Linked DNA regions of Mus musculus. The protein of the gene in region 1 binds, or shares a complex with, the protein of each later gene. Links are inferred from orthologs where the notes say so. Each region holds a gene or a part of one and is shown in the gene's direction. Other genes may lie near its edges.

Region 1 (4,207 bases):
AATAAATTTGCTTCTTTCAAATAGAATACCAACCTTGGTCTGTGACATTTGGGAGAGAAATTAAAATATTAAGCCTTTATTGCCGAGTAAGCTGAAAATACAGTAAAGGTTATGTAAACATAAATCAGAAATATATATCTATATATACAGAGAATCACCACCTCTGAAGGACAAGCCGTCTACTGTTCTCTGCTGTGAGAGTTTTATCAGTACTCGTAATTCTACCTCAGAGGCCATGCTAGTGGGCAAAGATGTAAACAAGGGCCTGCCTTGTTTATATTATGAAATATGTGGCCTGGTTTGTATGTCTTGTCTTTATAGGTGTCTAACAGCTGCCTGGGTTGTTTTAAAGCACCAGTAGGGCCCGCAGAGGACTCTCCGAGAACAGGATTGCCATTGAGATATGTTTATTTGATGTGTTAAATCCTTTTTAGGCTTCTTTACTTACCACAACACTCTCTTTAAGTGAATGAATTGCACACAGTGGAATAAAATATCCAATGTGTTCAGACTATATTGGGGTGTAGCTTTTCTGTCTAATCTGCATATGTTTTTAATGGAATGTTTACCCAGGCTATTTCTTGGCAGGATTTTAATAGTCAAAATATAAATGGCATCATTTAAAGACTGTACTACTTGGCTGCATTAAACGTTAAAATTACAGGACAAAATGGTTGGTGACAGCTTCTCCTCAGCCTTTTTTTAAAAATTTCCCCTTGAGGAGGTTATTTGGTGTTTACAACAATGTTACTGGGCTCGTTTTGTAGTTCAGTTTGTCAACTTTCACTTTCATAATTGTGTTTTGCTAAAATATTTACCTTGTTCAATTTGACGGTTAGGCTTTATGCCCCTCACCCCACGTTTTTGTATTTCCAAGTTATTCAGCTGTTTTCATTTACTCATTCCTGAAAAAATATTACAGTCCGCGTAGTCCCTGCATTAAACCTGACTAAATCTCTCAGTATGGCCATATTTTGAAATTCAATCTTTAATTTGATACTCAATCACACAGGTTTTATTTGTACCCATTTCCTGTAATCCTATAGCATTCAGTGAAAATATTAGCGGTGAGGATCACCGGGGGAAGTTGTAGGCACTGAGATTTCGGGAGTTAAATGTTCGTTTTGTAGGGCTGGGGTGAAAAACTAGGTTTCCCAGTTGAAATTGAAGAAGCTTGTTGTTCTTGCGTTACTCATTCATGCAAATTGGCGAAGGTATAATTGAAACAAGGTTGGCTGTGTTTGAGTCAGGGCTGCAGCTGAGCTCAGCTTAAAGGTCGCTGGAAATCAAGTGCTTTGTCAGTGAAGGCGTTCTGACTCCCGGCGATTCTAGACACTTGGGGAACGTCAATCTCGGGCATGGGTCGTCCTTTTCTATGAAATCTGGTATCTGAAGTTAAAGACGCCTCCCCACGAGCTTTTTCAACACCGCCGATGGTTTTTTCCTCTGGATGCAGCACAGCTGCGCTAGCCTGACTACAGACAGAGCTCTTTGTTTTGACTCTCAGCCCTGAACATGCTTGGAAATGAGAACAAATGGCACAGAGTTTACGACTGCACTTTGCCGCCAGAAGAAGCAAGACTTACCCTCTGTCGGAACCCTCTGGAGATGACTTGGATAGCCACGTTGACACACACGGCCAGAGGCGGCCCCGGATCTCAGTGGCTAGTGTGGTTCAAATGAGGCTGACCCCCAGACAGGCGCCACAGGCTCCGTGGGTAGAGCATAGATCCTCTGAAAGTACTGACAAAAAGAGCAGCTGCCTGCAGATCTCACTGCAGCCCAGATACGGAGGGTGTCTTCCATCTGACACTGTCGTGGCTGATAGGGACAGTACTTCCTCTACCTGTGCTTCAAAGGATGATGTTTGCAGCAGCAGTGGAATTGACAGTGAGCTGGACAATGGCAGCCTCAGTAACTTCTCAGCCAGTGACAGTGGGTCTTACAGCAGCAGTGGCAGTGACTGTGGGTCTTGTGCAAGCCTCGCAAGTGGAGGCTCCTCCACCGGCAGTGGTGTCAGCGACAGTAGTGGCTATGAGACCTTTTTCAGTGGAAATTTACCTTCTGACAACGCCTCCAACAGAAGCGTGCCAGTCGACACTACACCCCGTGAAGTTATGTGCGGAAGTCCCAGTAGACTTCCCTTTGCCCAGGAGGACCTGGATCGTGGAGTAGAGATTATGAAACTGCCAGTGAGTAGGAACGCAAAGGGTCCACTGAAGCGCTGCACGTCTTTGGTCATTTTCCCCAGGAGTCCTTCAAACACCCCACCAGCATCCCCGACGAGCAGAGGTGCCTACCAGACCTCACACCAGTTGGTTGTATCACCTACTGAAACTGCACATCATGAAGATGGATCTGGCACCAAAGGCTTTCTGTCAACAGCTGTCAACGGGCTTCGATTATCTAAAATGGTTTGTACTCCTGGAGAAGTCAGAGATGTACGGCCACTCCATGCCAAGGGCTCATTGCAAAAGAAAATTGTCATTTCAAATAATAGGCCCAAACAAACTGTGTGTGAGAAGTTGCCAGAAGGATTTTCCTGTGTTTCCGTGCACTTGACCCAACAAAAACCAACGACATCAGATTGTGCAAACCCCCGTGGTGGCTGCACATCAGAGAGGTTAGAACTTCAGCTGCAGTCTGATTTGGACCATGGCATGCTCAAACAGAGGGCATCCCCTTGCTTGCCAACCGCATCAGACATGGGTTACCATTTAAACATCCGTGGAGAGTTGGAAAGACCAAATTCACCGATAAGCAAAGGCCATGCTGCTTTGCAAAGAAGTGTTTCGCTGGGTGGGACATACCCAAATATTTCCTGCTTATCCAGCCTGAAGCACAATTGTTCAAAGGGGGGACCATCTCAGTTGCTCATTAAGTTTGCATCTGGGAATGATGGTAAAGTTGATAGTTTCTGGAGACAGAGAGACTTGACAAATGAACTGTCTGATGTTTGTAAGGTAAGATTCCTCTGGTCTTGAAAAAATACTTCCTGGAATTCTTAGCTATACTGATTATACTTGATTATAGCACTATCTGTTCCTTTCTGTGGCCCTTAGTGAGGAAGTTTTTAGAAAGCTTCAATTTTATATTTGTAAAGCTCTTTCTTATTTTACCAATGGATAAACTACTTTTAAAACAAACAAACAAAAAAAAAACCAAAAAAACCTTTCCTTGGTGATTTAAATCCTAAAATTCTTCCAGAACTGGCTCGATGTCATAACACTCGATCTTGGGATATTTGTTCTTCTTACCTTCAGAAATGGGATTTTCTTCTCCCTCTTAAAACACATGTATTTGTAAGATCGCTGATCAAAAAGACTATTATATTGAATGTTTCAAGCAGAGGAAAAGTAAGTGGGCTTTGCATTTACATACACCCTAGCCACAGGAATGCTGTTTGCACCCTATTTTTCCTGAGTTCCCAGTGATCGCTGTCTCCCAAAATGTAACTCACTTTTTCAGCAGTATTGATTTCTAAGTTTTATGTGTTTGAATTGGCTTAAACGTACTAGGTAGTTTCTATAATTTTCAATTTACTACACTAGTTTATTGTTCTCACAATGTTGCTTTATTTTATTAGTAATTTAGCTCTAACAGATCTTAGCCAGATTGGCATTTTATGTAATTTGGCCTTTTCAAATTATTTACAATCTTTAAAACTAAAGTAGCCTTTACCATGTCTGTATTTGGAAGGTTTTGCAAAATTCCAGGAAATTTAATTGTTTTTCTGACGACATTAGCTCTAGATTGACAACACATATGCTGGCTGGCGTGCTCTATTTCTTTCTTGTGAAGGGACCTTGCTTCTTTTCATGGCAATGCCTGTATTAAATGTTGGAGGAGTGTGGGGGGAATCCAGATAATGTCTAGACAGATGGAGTTAGAAAATTAGGTAATTGGGCTCTTTTTTCTCTCTTTTGAAATCTGGAAAATATAATCATTGTGTCCACCCAAGGTTAATCTACGCAGCTACTTCACTGGGGATAAGAGAAGATTAGATTTCAAAGTTTGATCTTTGTTTTAGAGTTATTCATTCCACTTGCAAAATTTTTCTAAAACAGTTTTTGGAACATTATAATCGGTTTAATTCTCTTCCCCAAAGTGCTGGGTCCTTAAAGCAGCATTAGTACTCTGCCAATTCAGTCGATGTTACTCACAGAGTCTACATTCAAAGAAACCTAAGAAGTTATGAATCTGAAAA
Region 2 (3,635 bases), on another chromosome or scaffold:
ATACTAAATACATCTTCGGCAAGTTGGGCTCGCTCTTCTCCCTGTATCTGGGTGCTATTACTTCCGAGTCAACTTCATCTTTGGGAAATGCTGCCAGATTTGCCCTTGGATTCTGTTTTGGCTTGGGTTGAAACTGCCTTATTTTGACTGACCCCTGAAAAAAGAAACTATATATGTGAAACCATCAATTTACAGTCTACAATCACTGAGTTGTTTTCGTGGTTTTTGTTTTTGTTTTTCTTAGGAGGTGCCCAGACATGGGTGACTGGAGCGCCTTGGGGAAGCTGCTGGACAAGGTCCAAGCCTACTCCACGGCCGGAGGGAAGGTGTGGCTGTCGGTGCTCTTCATTTTCAGAATCCTGCTCCTGGGGACAGCGGTTGAGTCAGCTTGGGGTGATGAACAGTCTGCCTTTCGCTGTAACACTCAACAACCCGGTTGTGAAAATGTCTGCTATGACAAGTCCTTCCCCATCTCTCACGTGCGCTTCTGGGTCCTTCAGATCATATTCGTGTCTGTGCCCACACTCCTGTACTTGGCTCACGTGTTCTATGTGATGAGAAAGGAAGAGAAGCTGAACAAGAAAGAAGAGGAGCTCAAAGTGGCGCAGACCGACGGGGTCAACGTGGAGATGCACCTGAAGCAGATTGAAATCAAGAAGTTCAAGTATGGGATTGAAGAACACGGCAAGGTGAAGATGAGAGGTGGCCTGCTGAGAACCTACATCATCAGCATCCTCTTCAAGTCTGTCTTCGAGGTGGCCTTCCTGCTGATCCAGTGGTACATCTATGGGTTCAGCCTGAGTGCGGTCTACACCTGCAAGAGAGATCCCTGCCCCCACCAGGTGGACTGCTTCCTCTCACGTCCCACGGAGAAAACCATCTTCATCATCTTCATGCTGGTGGTGTCCTTGGTGTCTCTCGCTCTGAATATCATTGAGCTCTTCTATGTCTTCTTCAAGGGCGTTAAGGATCGCGTGAAGGGAAGAAGCGATCCTTACCACGCCACCACCGGCCCACTGAGCCCATCCAAAGACTGCGGATCTCCAAAATATGCTTACTTCAATGGCTGCTCCTCACCAACGGCCCCACTCTCACCTATGTCTCCTCCTGGGTACAAGCTGGTCACTGGTGACAGAAACAATTCCTCCTGCCGCAATTACAACAAGCAAGCCAGCGAGCAAAACTGGGCGAATTACAGCGCAGAGCAAAATCGAATGGGGCAGGCCGGAAGCACCATCTCCAACTCCCACGCCCAGCCGTTTGATTTCCCTGACGACAGCCAAAATGCCAAAAAAGTTGCTGCTGGACACGAACTCCAGCCCTTAGCTATCGTGGATCAGCGACCTTCCAGCAGAGCCAGCAGCCGCGCCAGCAGCAGACCTCGGCCTGATGACCTGGAGATTTAAACAGGCTTGAACATCAAGCTGCCAATCGATTGTGGAGGAGAAAAAAAAGGGTGCTTGCAGAACGTGCACCTGGGGTGTTCATTTCGTTCCCGTGGAGGTGGTACTCAACAACCTCAGTAATGAGGCGTAGAAAACAAAGACATTACAATATCTAGGTTCCTTGGGGGGTGTTTTGGGATAGCTAGGCGGCAAAAGTAGGGAAAGGGGAGGTATGTAACGGTATTTAATGTAGAAGATTCAAAGAGCTTAAATTCTAGTAAGAGTCTCATTGGATGAAACATAGATAGGGCTTTCTCTCTCTGCCCCCCAACTGAACCTTAAGAATGGTTCTGTATACATGAGTGAGTGGGTGATATATATTTTTTTTAATTTTTGTTTTACTGAGATTCTGCCATAGAGCTTTGAGCAGGAATCCAAGTCCTCAACATGGCATTTCCTTTATGAAAAGACAGGTTGTCCTACATCCCCGCTAAAAAACATTCCAGTGTTTAAAAACTTGGCAGTTTGCAGGCGAGCTTCCCTGGCCTGACCCTCTAGGTGTGGATGGACCTTATGCTACTATACACGATTTTCATTCTTGGTAGGTATCAATTCGAAGTTCAGACAAGGTTCAAAGAAAAAGATTGCCCATGTATTTGCATCTCAGTGGGTTCTTTTTCAAATCTGTCCCACCTTTGTGTCTTCCATATATTATCCTCAGCTGGTCCTCACCCTCACCAAATGATTTCTATCGACATTTTTAAAACAGTGAGAAAGTCTTTTTTTTTTTTTTTTTTGAGTTAGCATCAGGGAGGCAAGCCATGCTCAATATTTAACAATCGCTTCTGTCTATGTGTGGGTGTGCAAGTGTGTAAGCGTGTGTTTTGTCATTATTGGTACAAGCAGAGGCAGTATAAACTCACAGATTTGAATCGAATTCACACAGTGTTCAAATTTGAACCTTCCTCATGGATCTTTGTGGTGTGGGCCAACGTGGTGTTTACATTATAGAATTCCTGCCGTGCAAAAGTGTAAAGCACACACTTTTTCCCTAAAATATTTTTTCCACGTATCCTATTATGGATACTGGTTTTGTTAATTATGATTTTTTTTTCTTTTTTAGAATGTAGCAGTAATAGCCATTACTGAAATGAATGATTTCCTTTTTCTGAAATATAATCATTGATGCTTGAATGATAGAATTTTAGTACTGTAAACAGGCTTTAGTCATTAATGTGAGAGACTTAGAAGAGGGTTGCTTAGAGTGGACTATCAAGTGAGCCTAAAGGAACTTTGTAGTAACTGGTAATCTGGTAATTTTTGTCCTACTTAACTACACATTAACTCAGAACTTGTATTCTGAGTTTAACAGTCTTTTAGATTGACGAGCAACTTGGATGTTTGCACTAAGATTTTCTTTGAGATACTAGAGGGGGTGAAGGAGTTTTCAGCAGTGCACATGTAACTAATTTATTTGAACTGTAAGCTAAAGACACCTACCAGTTTCTTCAAGTGACTTAAAAAAACTCATCACAGATGATTGAAATGTCGAGTTATCATGTTTCCTCTTGCGCGCCAGCTACACAAGGAGTTTTTGGACAATGAGAAACTAATTTGTTTGACATTCCATGTTAAACTACTGTCATGTTCAGCTTCATTGCATGTAATGTAGACCTAGCCCATCCAATCAATGTGCTCGGGAAAGTGTTCTTTATTCAATAAAATTTTAATTTAGTATAATAAAGATAACCTGCATGTCTTGTGTGATTTAAAAAACAAAAAAAACAAGAAAACTTACCAAATTTATTCAAGATTACCAAAAGTAGATCCCATAATTACAATGTCTTGGGCTAATGAAATCCACTTTTATTTTATTTTCATCTTTTGCTTGCCGGTATCTCTGTGCAATGGTATGTTGCTGCTTGCAGTGGCCAGGAAAAAAAAAAAATTAGTGTCAAATCCCCTAGAGATAGTTGTGAACTGCCATGTGGGTGCTGGGAATCAAATCTGGCTCTTTGAAGAACAGTGTTTTGTTAGTTTGATTTTTAAGGACAAACACCATAAGCATCATTGATTTTGAAATATTGAGGTAATATTTTAACAGGAAATAAAGCATACAAATGTTTAATTGGGAGAACAGTTAAACTCCACACCAGGTCTCACACACTCATAGAATCGAACCTAGAATTTTTTGCCAGCCTCTACATTCTCTTGCCATGGCTTCCTCGATACATGGAGTTGTAGGCCCGA
Region 3 (3,515 bases), on another chromosome or scaffold:
AGATACCCATCAGCAAATTAAAAAGAGTAAAATTTAGTGTTGTTCCTGGTGCTTAAAAACAGCTCTTGACCTTGTGAAATGGCCTTGAAGGTTCTGTCACACCTCACATGTGATGGTTCTCCCTACAGAGAGGTGCCTGGAGGACCATGAGATCGTGGTCCAAGTGGAGAGTACCATGCCAAGTGAGAGCAAATTCTTATTCAGAAAGAATTATGCGAAGTACGAGTTCTTTAAGAATCCAGTGGTAAGTCTCCTGAAATCTTGGAGTTTATACTTGGGTTGAATAAAACCTGATTGTCAGGTGACAAGCTGAGACTTATGGGTACGTGGGTTTAAGAAGCTGAGTCACTATTTAATTAAACAGGCCTCACAACCCAATCATCACCAGATGTCATGGCGACCGTCTCCTTCCTACAAGGGTAGAGATGGTAACACTAGAACAAATTAATCAAATAATCAGCAAATACCAGACACTTTCTTCATTGTATGTTGGTATGCTGACATCAACGCCTTAATTTTGTTTCCCTTTGTGGGGAGGTGCCTGTCAGGTGACACAGTAGGAAAGGGGCATTCATGACTTCTGAGCCTTTGGTCTTTTCCTGAGTCACCAAGCAGACTGACCGTCAGCTAGGGGAGACCAGTGTCCACTTCTGGTTCTGGTTCTGCTTCACTGTTTTCTTGGAAAGAAAGAAATGTAATAGTTCTAGGTAATTCAGAAGAACTACCATCACCATGCTGTTATTTATTCACTTGCTTTTGGTTTTCTTATGTACAAGTTTTGATAAAAGAGTGAGAAGGACTGTTATCTAAAATACAAATGGATCATTATCATACCTGGAAAAATTTTAATATTGGCAGACATGTGTCTATAATACCCTTGTTTCTCCTTGTTTCTCAGAACTTCTTCCCGGATCAGATGGTCAATTGGTGCCAGCAGTCCAACGGTGGCCAGGCGCAGCTTCTGCAGGTACTAAGCAAACACTGCATTCTTGCTGAAACAAACTTGCTGGAAAGTTGACAAGGAGCAGATGCCCAAAATGCTCCATCTTCTAAGGAAAGTAGCAGCATTCCTACTACACCGTAGTGGGAGCCATTTGCTTCTTTCTATTCCAACATTGCTATGTTCTACACAATACCAGTTCTGTTGGGATTTTAAGAAGTTTGAAGGAAGAACATTTTGCCTAAGCTTCCCCAAAGTATTTTAATGATTCAGAAAATCTCAGTTATATGTAATAAGTTATCTGCTTTCATTATTTTATGTGCATATTGCCTAATTTTAAAAATTTATTCCTTCACAGAATTTTCTGAACACCAGCAGCTGCCCTGAGATCCAGGGGTTCTTGCAGGTGAAAGAGGTAGGACGCAAGTCTTGGAAGAAGCTGTATGTGTGCCTGCGCAGATCTGGCCTCTATTACTCCACCAAGGGGACTTCAAAAGTAAGTTTTAGAACACTCCACCTTTCCCTGTACTAGGTGTTCTTGCTGTGGACTTGGGCTTAATTTTTAAAAGCCCCTGAACCTCTTTTAACTAATTAATAGTCAATTTATATAATAACTGTACACACAGGGACCAGTGTACTGGTCTATCAAAAATTGGATGGAAACGCAAGGCAGCTTCTAGGATGGTCAGCCCTGGATCCCTACTGTGGGCTGAATATAGACCCTCCTGGATGACTCAGTCAATGCAGGGGCATACTTGGTTTTCATAATTTGGAAATTAGATCCTACCTGCCATAGGATAGGTGCTGGATTGTTGTCCTGTATTCATAAGCAAAATATGGTTTTCACTCTACTGGAGCAAATTTTAAGAATTGCATAGTTCATAAAAACAAAGTGAGTCTATTGTAACACAAAGCTGGCATTTGTGGTTTATGCTGTTGAGATTTCATGATGTCCTTTCAGTTCGGTGTGTGTGACCAGGGGGAAAAAGTGAGCTTATAGCACTACAGACTTTTTTTTTTCCAGAAAATGTGACCTCACAGTTCACTTAACTGCTGTTTTGCAGGAACCCAGACACCTGCAGCTGCTGGCTGACCTGGAAGAAAGCAGCATCTTCTACCTGATTGCTGGAAAGAAGCAGTACAACGCGCCGAATGAACATGGGATGTGCATCAAGGTACTTGAGCTGGGACTGGGAGTTGTGCAGAGGAGTTTTCTCCTGGCCAGTATCTATTTGGTTGTAGATCCTTCTACTCTAAACAGAAACCTTTTTTTTTTTTTTCTTTTTCACACTGGCCTCATTGTGTGCTTATGATTTGATGTGGGTTGTTTTGTTGTTGTTGCTGTTGTTGTTGTTCTTTTTAAATAGCCCCGGAACACTAAAAGGCCTCAGTGACTTAAGGCCAGGTAGCCATTAGCCTCCTGCACCAGCTACAGCTTTTACCTGGTCATAATAAGGAGAGGCAGAAGCTGGTTAAGAAGGGGAAGGAGGGAACTCCTGACCTGACATCTGATTGTTTGCAACTACTGAGTGTACTGTCTGTGTGTCATGAGGGTTGACCACAATACTCCCTACCCACTATGTGTATTTATGAGAACACTGACACATTGATAGAGATGTATGCCTATAGTCAGAACACACAGATGTCAATGTGTACATAGGTACAAGCAATGCATGCTTGCACATACATGCACATACACCACAGCCAAGATCATGTTAATTTTCCTCTTGGTGAGATTGTGGCAGTGTTGATCATAGTGGTGACTACTGTCTCCTGAACTCCTATTTATGACCTGTTATCTTTTTATAGTCACTGTCATTTACTGAATCTTCATGGATACCTGGGAGGTGGTAGCTAGATCAGCTTCCTTGCCTTTGCACAGATAACCAGTGACTAGTTGTATTTGGATCTCACCGTGGTGGCCTGCTTCTGAGGCTTGAGGACAGCCTTCTCTCACATGAGTGTATGAGTTCGCACTGTTTCACTGGTCGCTTTCTGTTTCTCCTGTAGCCAAACAAAGCGAAGACCGAGATGAAGGAGCTTCGTCTGCTCTGTGCCGAAGATGAGCAGATCCGTACTTGCTGGATGACTGCCTTCAGACTGCTCAAGGTAGAGGACTCAAGGCTGCAGTTGGCTGCACCACATGCAGAGCAAGCAGCTGGATGTGGGTCTATCCTGACACAAAAATCCTATGGCATTTCTACCAAATGTGATTTATCAATTGTAGTTGTATATTCTTCATATCTAAGATCTCAGAAAGGGTAGAACCAGGTTTTCCAACTTGAGCAATATCAAGTATTGATGGAAACCGATTCTTTTTTGGCTAAAGACGGAGCTCTGTGCATTGTAGGTCTCTCCTACAAGATGCCCCCAATCAGTGGAGACAGTCAAAAATGCCTCTAGATGTTTCCAAATGTCCTCTAACATCAAAGGGTAAGAAATTTCCCCTTCAGTAGACAACTCTCAGTTCTAAGCCTGTTCAAAGTCTGTCATCAGACTGGCAGGGTATAAGCCAGCCGTGAAAGGAATACTTTGAATGTGTTAAAATAATGAGATTTCTAGGTGTGGTACGCAT
Region 4 (3,515 bases), on another chromosome or scaffold:
TTTGCTTTGGAGTAGGATGTAAAGCATTTTTTTTTCTTTATTGAATGGAAGTTTATATAAAGACAGAAGTTGGTGTCATTTAAAACCATTGACTAAGGGAACAAAATCAATTCTCTAATTTGATTTTTAAAATGTGGCATTTTTATGAGTTTGTACATTGATGTTTTTTCTCTATTTTTTACAGTCACCCCAAGCAGGCACAAAAGAAAAGACACTCTGTTGCTGGTTCTGCACCTCAGGCCCCATATCCTTAAGTGCCAAGATTGAAAGGAAGGGCTACACCCCAGGTATGTGTGAGGTTGAAGCCCCCAAAAAGCAATTTACTAAGTATTTGTGTATGCACATCGAATATGACAAATACCAACAGTAAGCACCCAGTCTTCCCTAGGACAGCTGTTCCCATTGTCTCTGTCCGTTTTCTTCTTACAGTGGGGGCTGCTGTTCTCTTGGGATACCGAGAGGGAGCAGGTCTTGTTTTAACTGGAAGTCACTTTGCTCATGTCCAGGATGGTTTCTCTGCCATAGAGTTATATGGGCTTCATAGTTGAGCTTCAGAGGTCTACACTTTATAGTGGGTGTTGGCTTGTTTTCTAATAGTAAATGTAACGGCTTCCCTCTGCAGGTGAATCAATCCAGATATTTGCCGAGATTGAGAACTGCTCTTCCCGAATGGTAGTGCCAAAGGCGGCCATTTACCAGACGCAGGCCTTCTATGCCAAAGGGAAAATGAAGGAAGTAAAACAGCTTGTGGCAAACTTACGTGGCGAGTCTTTATCCTCTGGGAAGACAGAGACGTGGAATGGCAAGCTGCTCAAAATCCCACCGGTTTCACCCTCCATCCTCGACTGTAGTATAATCCGAGTGGAATATTCGCTAATGGTAGGTGTAAAGTATGAAGTTTTTATGACTTAAAGTTGTGGGGTTGTAGTGTTAGCTTATCCAAGTATGGTTTTCGTAGTCCACTTAAAGTGGGGTGTAAATGTGTATGTGAAACTTTGCATTGTAATTCTACCTCTCATAAGCCTAGAACATGGCACATAAAAGAGAAATTGTGAAGAAATTAAAAGGAAATCACAGCTAATATGAGAATTAGGGTGTGTTTTAAAGACGGTTGTACGTGGAGTGCTGACCGAAGCTTCTGTCTCTGTAGGTGTACGTGGATATTCCTGGGGCCATGGATTTGCTTCTCAGTTTGCCCCTCGTCATCGGGACCATCCCTCTGCACCCGTTTGGTAGCAGAACCTCAAGTGTGAGCAGTCAGTGTAGCATGAGTATGAACTGGCTGGCTCTGGCCCTTCCTGAAAGACCTGAAGGTAATTACATAACACAGTTTTAAATGGACTCGAGTACTATTAAGACTTTCTCTTTTGTTTTGGTATATTATATTCCTAGTTAAATTGTACCTTTCCTTAGCACATGTGACCTTAATGTTAAGTTTGGTTATATGTCTCTCTTGTTTTAATCACCAAACAAATAATTACACTTTCACATGACACTTTTTTAATATCTACTATTCTGTGTATCTTGACATGCATAAGAACATGTTGTTCGAATTGCGTGTATCTTTCTCCTTCAGCACCACCCAGCTATGCAGAGGTTGTAACGGAGGAACAGAGACGGAATAATCTCGCCCCAGTGGGTGCTTGTGATGATTTTGAGAGAGCTCTCCAAGGACCACTGTTTGCTTATATCCAGGAGTTTCGGTTCCTGCCCCCACCTCTCTATTCAGAGGTAAGCACCAAGGCAAATAACAATGTACTGAGTCTCCGAGGAAGCAGCAGTAGACGGTTTTAAAAAGGCTTTAGCAAGACAGTTGCTTCTTGATTATCTCAGGAGTAAAAATTTAGAACAGCTTAAAAGTTACAATTGTCAAAGTTTCTAACTTCAACACGTAGGACTTCATCCAGGAAATAATATGACCTTCAAACTCTAGTTGATTCATTAGCATTTTTAAGAAATAACCTTATAACTTTGTAAACATTAATTAAATATCTAGAATTTATATTATTCATAGTCCTCCAATCTAGTTTTTACATATTTTAGCATTCTTAGTCATAAGAAAAGTTAGCATATTTCCAAATGACTTTTTAAAAAACACAGCTAAATTATTTATGCTCTTCATGTTGATCACATTGGGCACTCGTGAGTAAAGATAAGCACTTTGGATAATCTCACAAATTAGTTAGTGAAAAAAAAAAGATTCAAAGTGAAATCCTACTTTAACAGTGTTAGGAAACAGCACTCAGGTAATGAGGAGTTTATTGGCGCTTAGGTAATCAGAGTGCTTCTCTGAGAAAGATGATTCTTAAAGCTGAATTTTAAACTATGACTGGCCCTCCAAAGATGGGACTGTATAGGCAGGAAAGGCAGGCCAGAGGAAGGACAGAAGGGGCTTTCTTACATGACGAGCCAACAGTAGACATTTTTATAGGACCTTTCAAATTGACCTTGATAACCAAAATAATTATAAATCAAGAGAATCACCCCCTGGATTATGTAATTTATTCCACTGTCTTATATGCATTAGACACAAAGGATCTTGTTTTTACTTTGCCACCAATTGCTGTGAACCATAACTGGAGACATGGTTCCCTAAAGCCATCCTCATCGACTACAGGGTACTCAGAATCTGCTCTTACACATTTCTGCTTAGACATTTTCCTGTCTTATTGTGGTCTATAAAATATGTGTTTGATTATGAAAATGTTCTACCATTTCTCACAAATTCTATTACTGTATTTTTATTCTTATATTTTTTTATTTTGCTTCTGGCTTACTTTGAGTATTCATAGCTTTCATGGGGAAATTTTTTAAATGAATATATAAATAGTATTAATTTCATCTAATTTTTCATAAATTCTGCCCATTTCAAGATGATTATAAGTTACTTTAAAACTTGTACAACACTAAAATAGCTCTGGAATGTAACTTAACTACAAGACAACTGGCTGTTTTCTTCAGAGATGTGTATTTTGTGGAAAACTTGTGAGGTACTGTGGGTGTCTGACATTTAAGTTCAAATGGATCAGACTTGTCCAGAAGACCCTTAAGTTTCACAGGAGCCAGAGACCCTCAGGAAAAGGTGCACTAGCCTTTAGAACAAGAACAAAAGAGTCACTTTACAAAGGACATGAGCGGTTTGATGCTATATTCCAGTGCTATATCTGAGTGTACGCACCGCTGATGTTGAGTGAAACTGCCCTGCTAAAAGAGAGCCCGCCAGGAACTTGTGTGCAATTGAACTATTCATGCAGAACTATAATGCTAGTAGTACCCTTGCGTTCTCATGTAGCACTTCCGAGGGAGGGAACACCAGTGTATAATTAGCCTAAGAAGTTATGTATAGCCTCTGATTATATTGGTTATATTTGCTGATTGTTACTGAAAAGCAGATAAGTGTTGCATTCTTCCTTCACCTTACCAAGTTAACTTTGTAAATTTTATCTTATTCCTACTAGATTGATCCAAATCCTGATCAGTCATCCGAGGACAGACCATCATGCCCCTCTCGCTGA

Evidence for each region. Proteins that work in one complex are often made in the same cells at the same time.
Region 2: the proteins of Nedd4 (region 1) and Gja1 are in contact, whole or in part, in an NMR structure (PDB 2N8T), measured with the Rattus norvegicus proteins. The link is inferred for Mus musculus from reciprocal best matches to the Homo sapiens genes NEDD4 and GJA1. Residues at the interface, in NP_037118.1 of Rattus norvegicus: Asp416, Asp417, Tyr422, Val424, Asp425, His426, Ser428, Lys429, Thr430, Thr431, Thr432, Trp433; in NP_036699.1 of Rattus norvegicus: Pro277, Leu278, Ser279, Pro280, Met281, Ser282, Pro283, Pro284, Gly285, Tyr286.
Region 3: the proteins of Nedd4 (region 1) and Grb10 are in contact, whole or in part, in a crystal structure (PDB 3M7F), measured with the Mus musculus proteins. Residues at the interface, in NP_035020.2 of Mus musculus: Glu71, Leu72, Val79, Arg104, Ser112, Ile114, Leu115, Thr116, Ser117, Val118, Gln119, Glu134, Ile135, Leu136, Phe137, Arg138, Leu242, Pro243, His244, Pro245, Pro246; in NP_001357532.1 of Mus musculus: Ile514, Arg516, Gln518, His519, Phe521, His522, Gly523, Arg524, Asp548, Gln579, Phe581, Gly587, Asn588, Thr589, Lys590, Phe591, Ser592, Ile595, Gln596, Asp599, Phe600, Leu603, Asn604, Ile617, Arg618, Val619, Ala620.
Region 4: the proteins of Nedd4 (region 1) and Arrdc3 are in contact, whole or in part, in a crystal structure (PDB 4N7H), measured with the Homo sapiens proteins. The link is inferred for Mus musculus from reciprocal best matches to the Homo sapiens genes NEDD4 and ARRDC3. Residues at the interface, in NP_001271267.1 of Homo sapiens: Glu847, Arg849, Ala851, Pro852, Phe857, Ile859, Asp860, His861, Lys864, Thr865, Thr866, Thr867, Trp868; in NP_065852.1 of Homo sapiens: Glu344, Ala345, Pro346, Pro347, Ser348, Tyr349, Val352.

Annotation. Positions count from the first base shown.
Region 1 is NC_000075.6:72,691,904-72,696,110, forward strand, and holds the start of Nedd4 (E3 ubiquitin-protein ligase NEDD4), read left to right. Parts: upstream 1-1,394; 5' UTR 1,395-1,535; coding exon 1,536-2,963; intron 2,964-4,207. UniProt on the Homo sapiens protein: E3 ubiquitin-protein ligase which accepts ubiquitin from an E2 ubiquitin-conjugating enzyme in the form of a thioester and then directly transfers the ubiquitin to targeted substrates. Specifically ubiquitinates 'Lys-63' in target proteins.
Region 2 is NC_000076.6:56,387,290-56,390,924, forward strand, and holds the end of Gja1 (gap junction alpha-1 protein), read left to right. Parts: intron 1-244; 5' UTR 245-257; coding exon 258-1,406; 3' UTR 1,407-3,130; downstream 3,131-3,635. UniProt on the Homo sapiens protein: Gap junction protein that acts as a regulator of bladder capacity. A gap junction consists of a cluster of closely packed pairs of transmembrane channels, the connexons, through which materials of low MW diffuse from one cell to a neighboring cell.
Region 3 is NC_000077.6:11,943,416-11,946,930, reverse strand, and holds part of Grb10 (growth factor receptor-bound protein 10), read left to right. Parts: intron 1-128; coding exon 129-244; intron 245-898; coding exon 899-967; intron 968-1,298; coding exon 1,299-1,436; intron 1,437-2,004; coding exon 2,005-2,115; intron 2,116-2,950; coding exon 2,951-3,049; intron 3,050-3,515.
Region 4 is NC_000079.6:80,889,912-80,893,426, forward strand, and holds part of Arrdc3 (arrestin domain-containing protein 3), read left to right. Parts: intron 1-184; coding exon 185-287; intron 288-622; coding exon 623-879; intron 880-1,150; coding exon 1,151-1,313; intron 1,314-1,538; exon of another isoform or gene 1,539-1,576; coding exon 1,577-1,731; intron 1,732-3,458; coding exon 3,459-3,515. UniProt on the Homo sapiens protein: Adapter protein that plays a role in regulating cell-surface expression of adrenergic receptors and probably also other G protein-coupled receptors.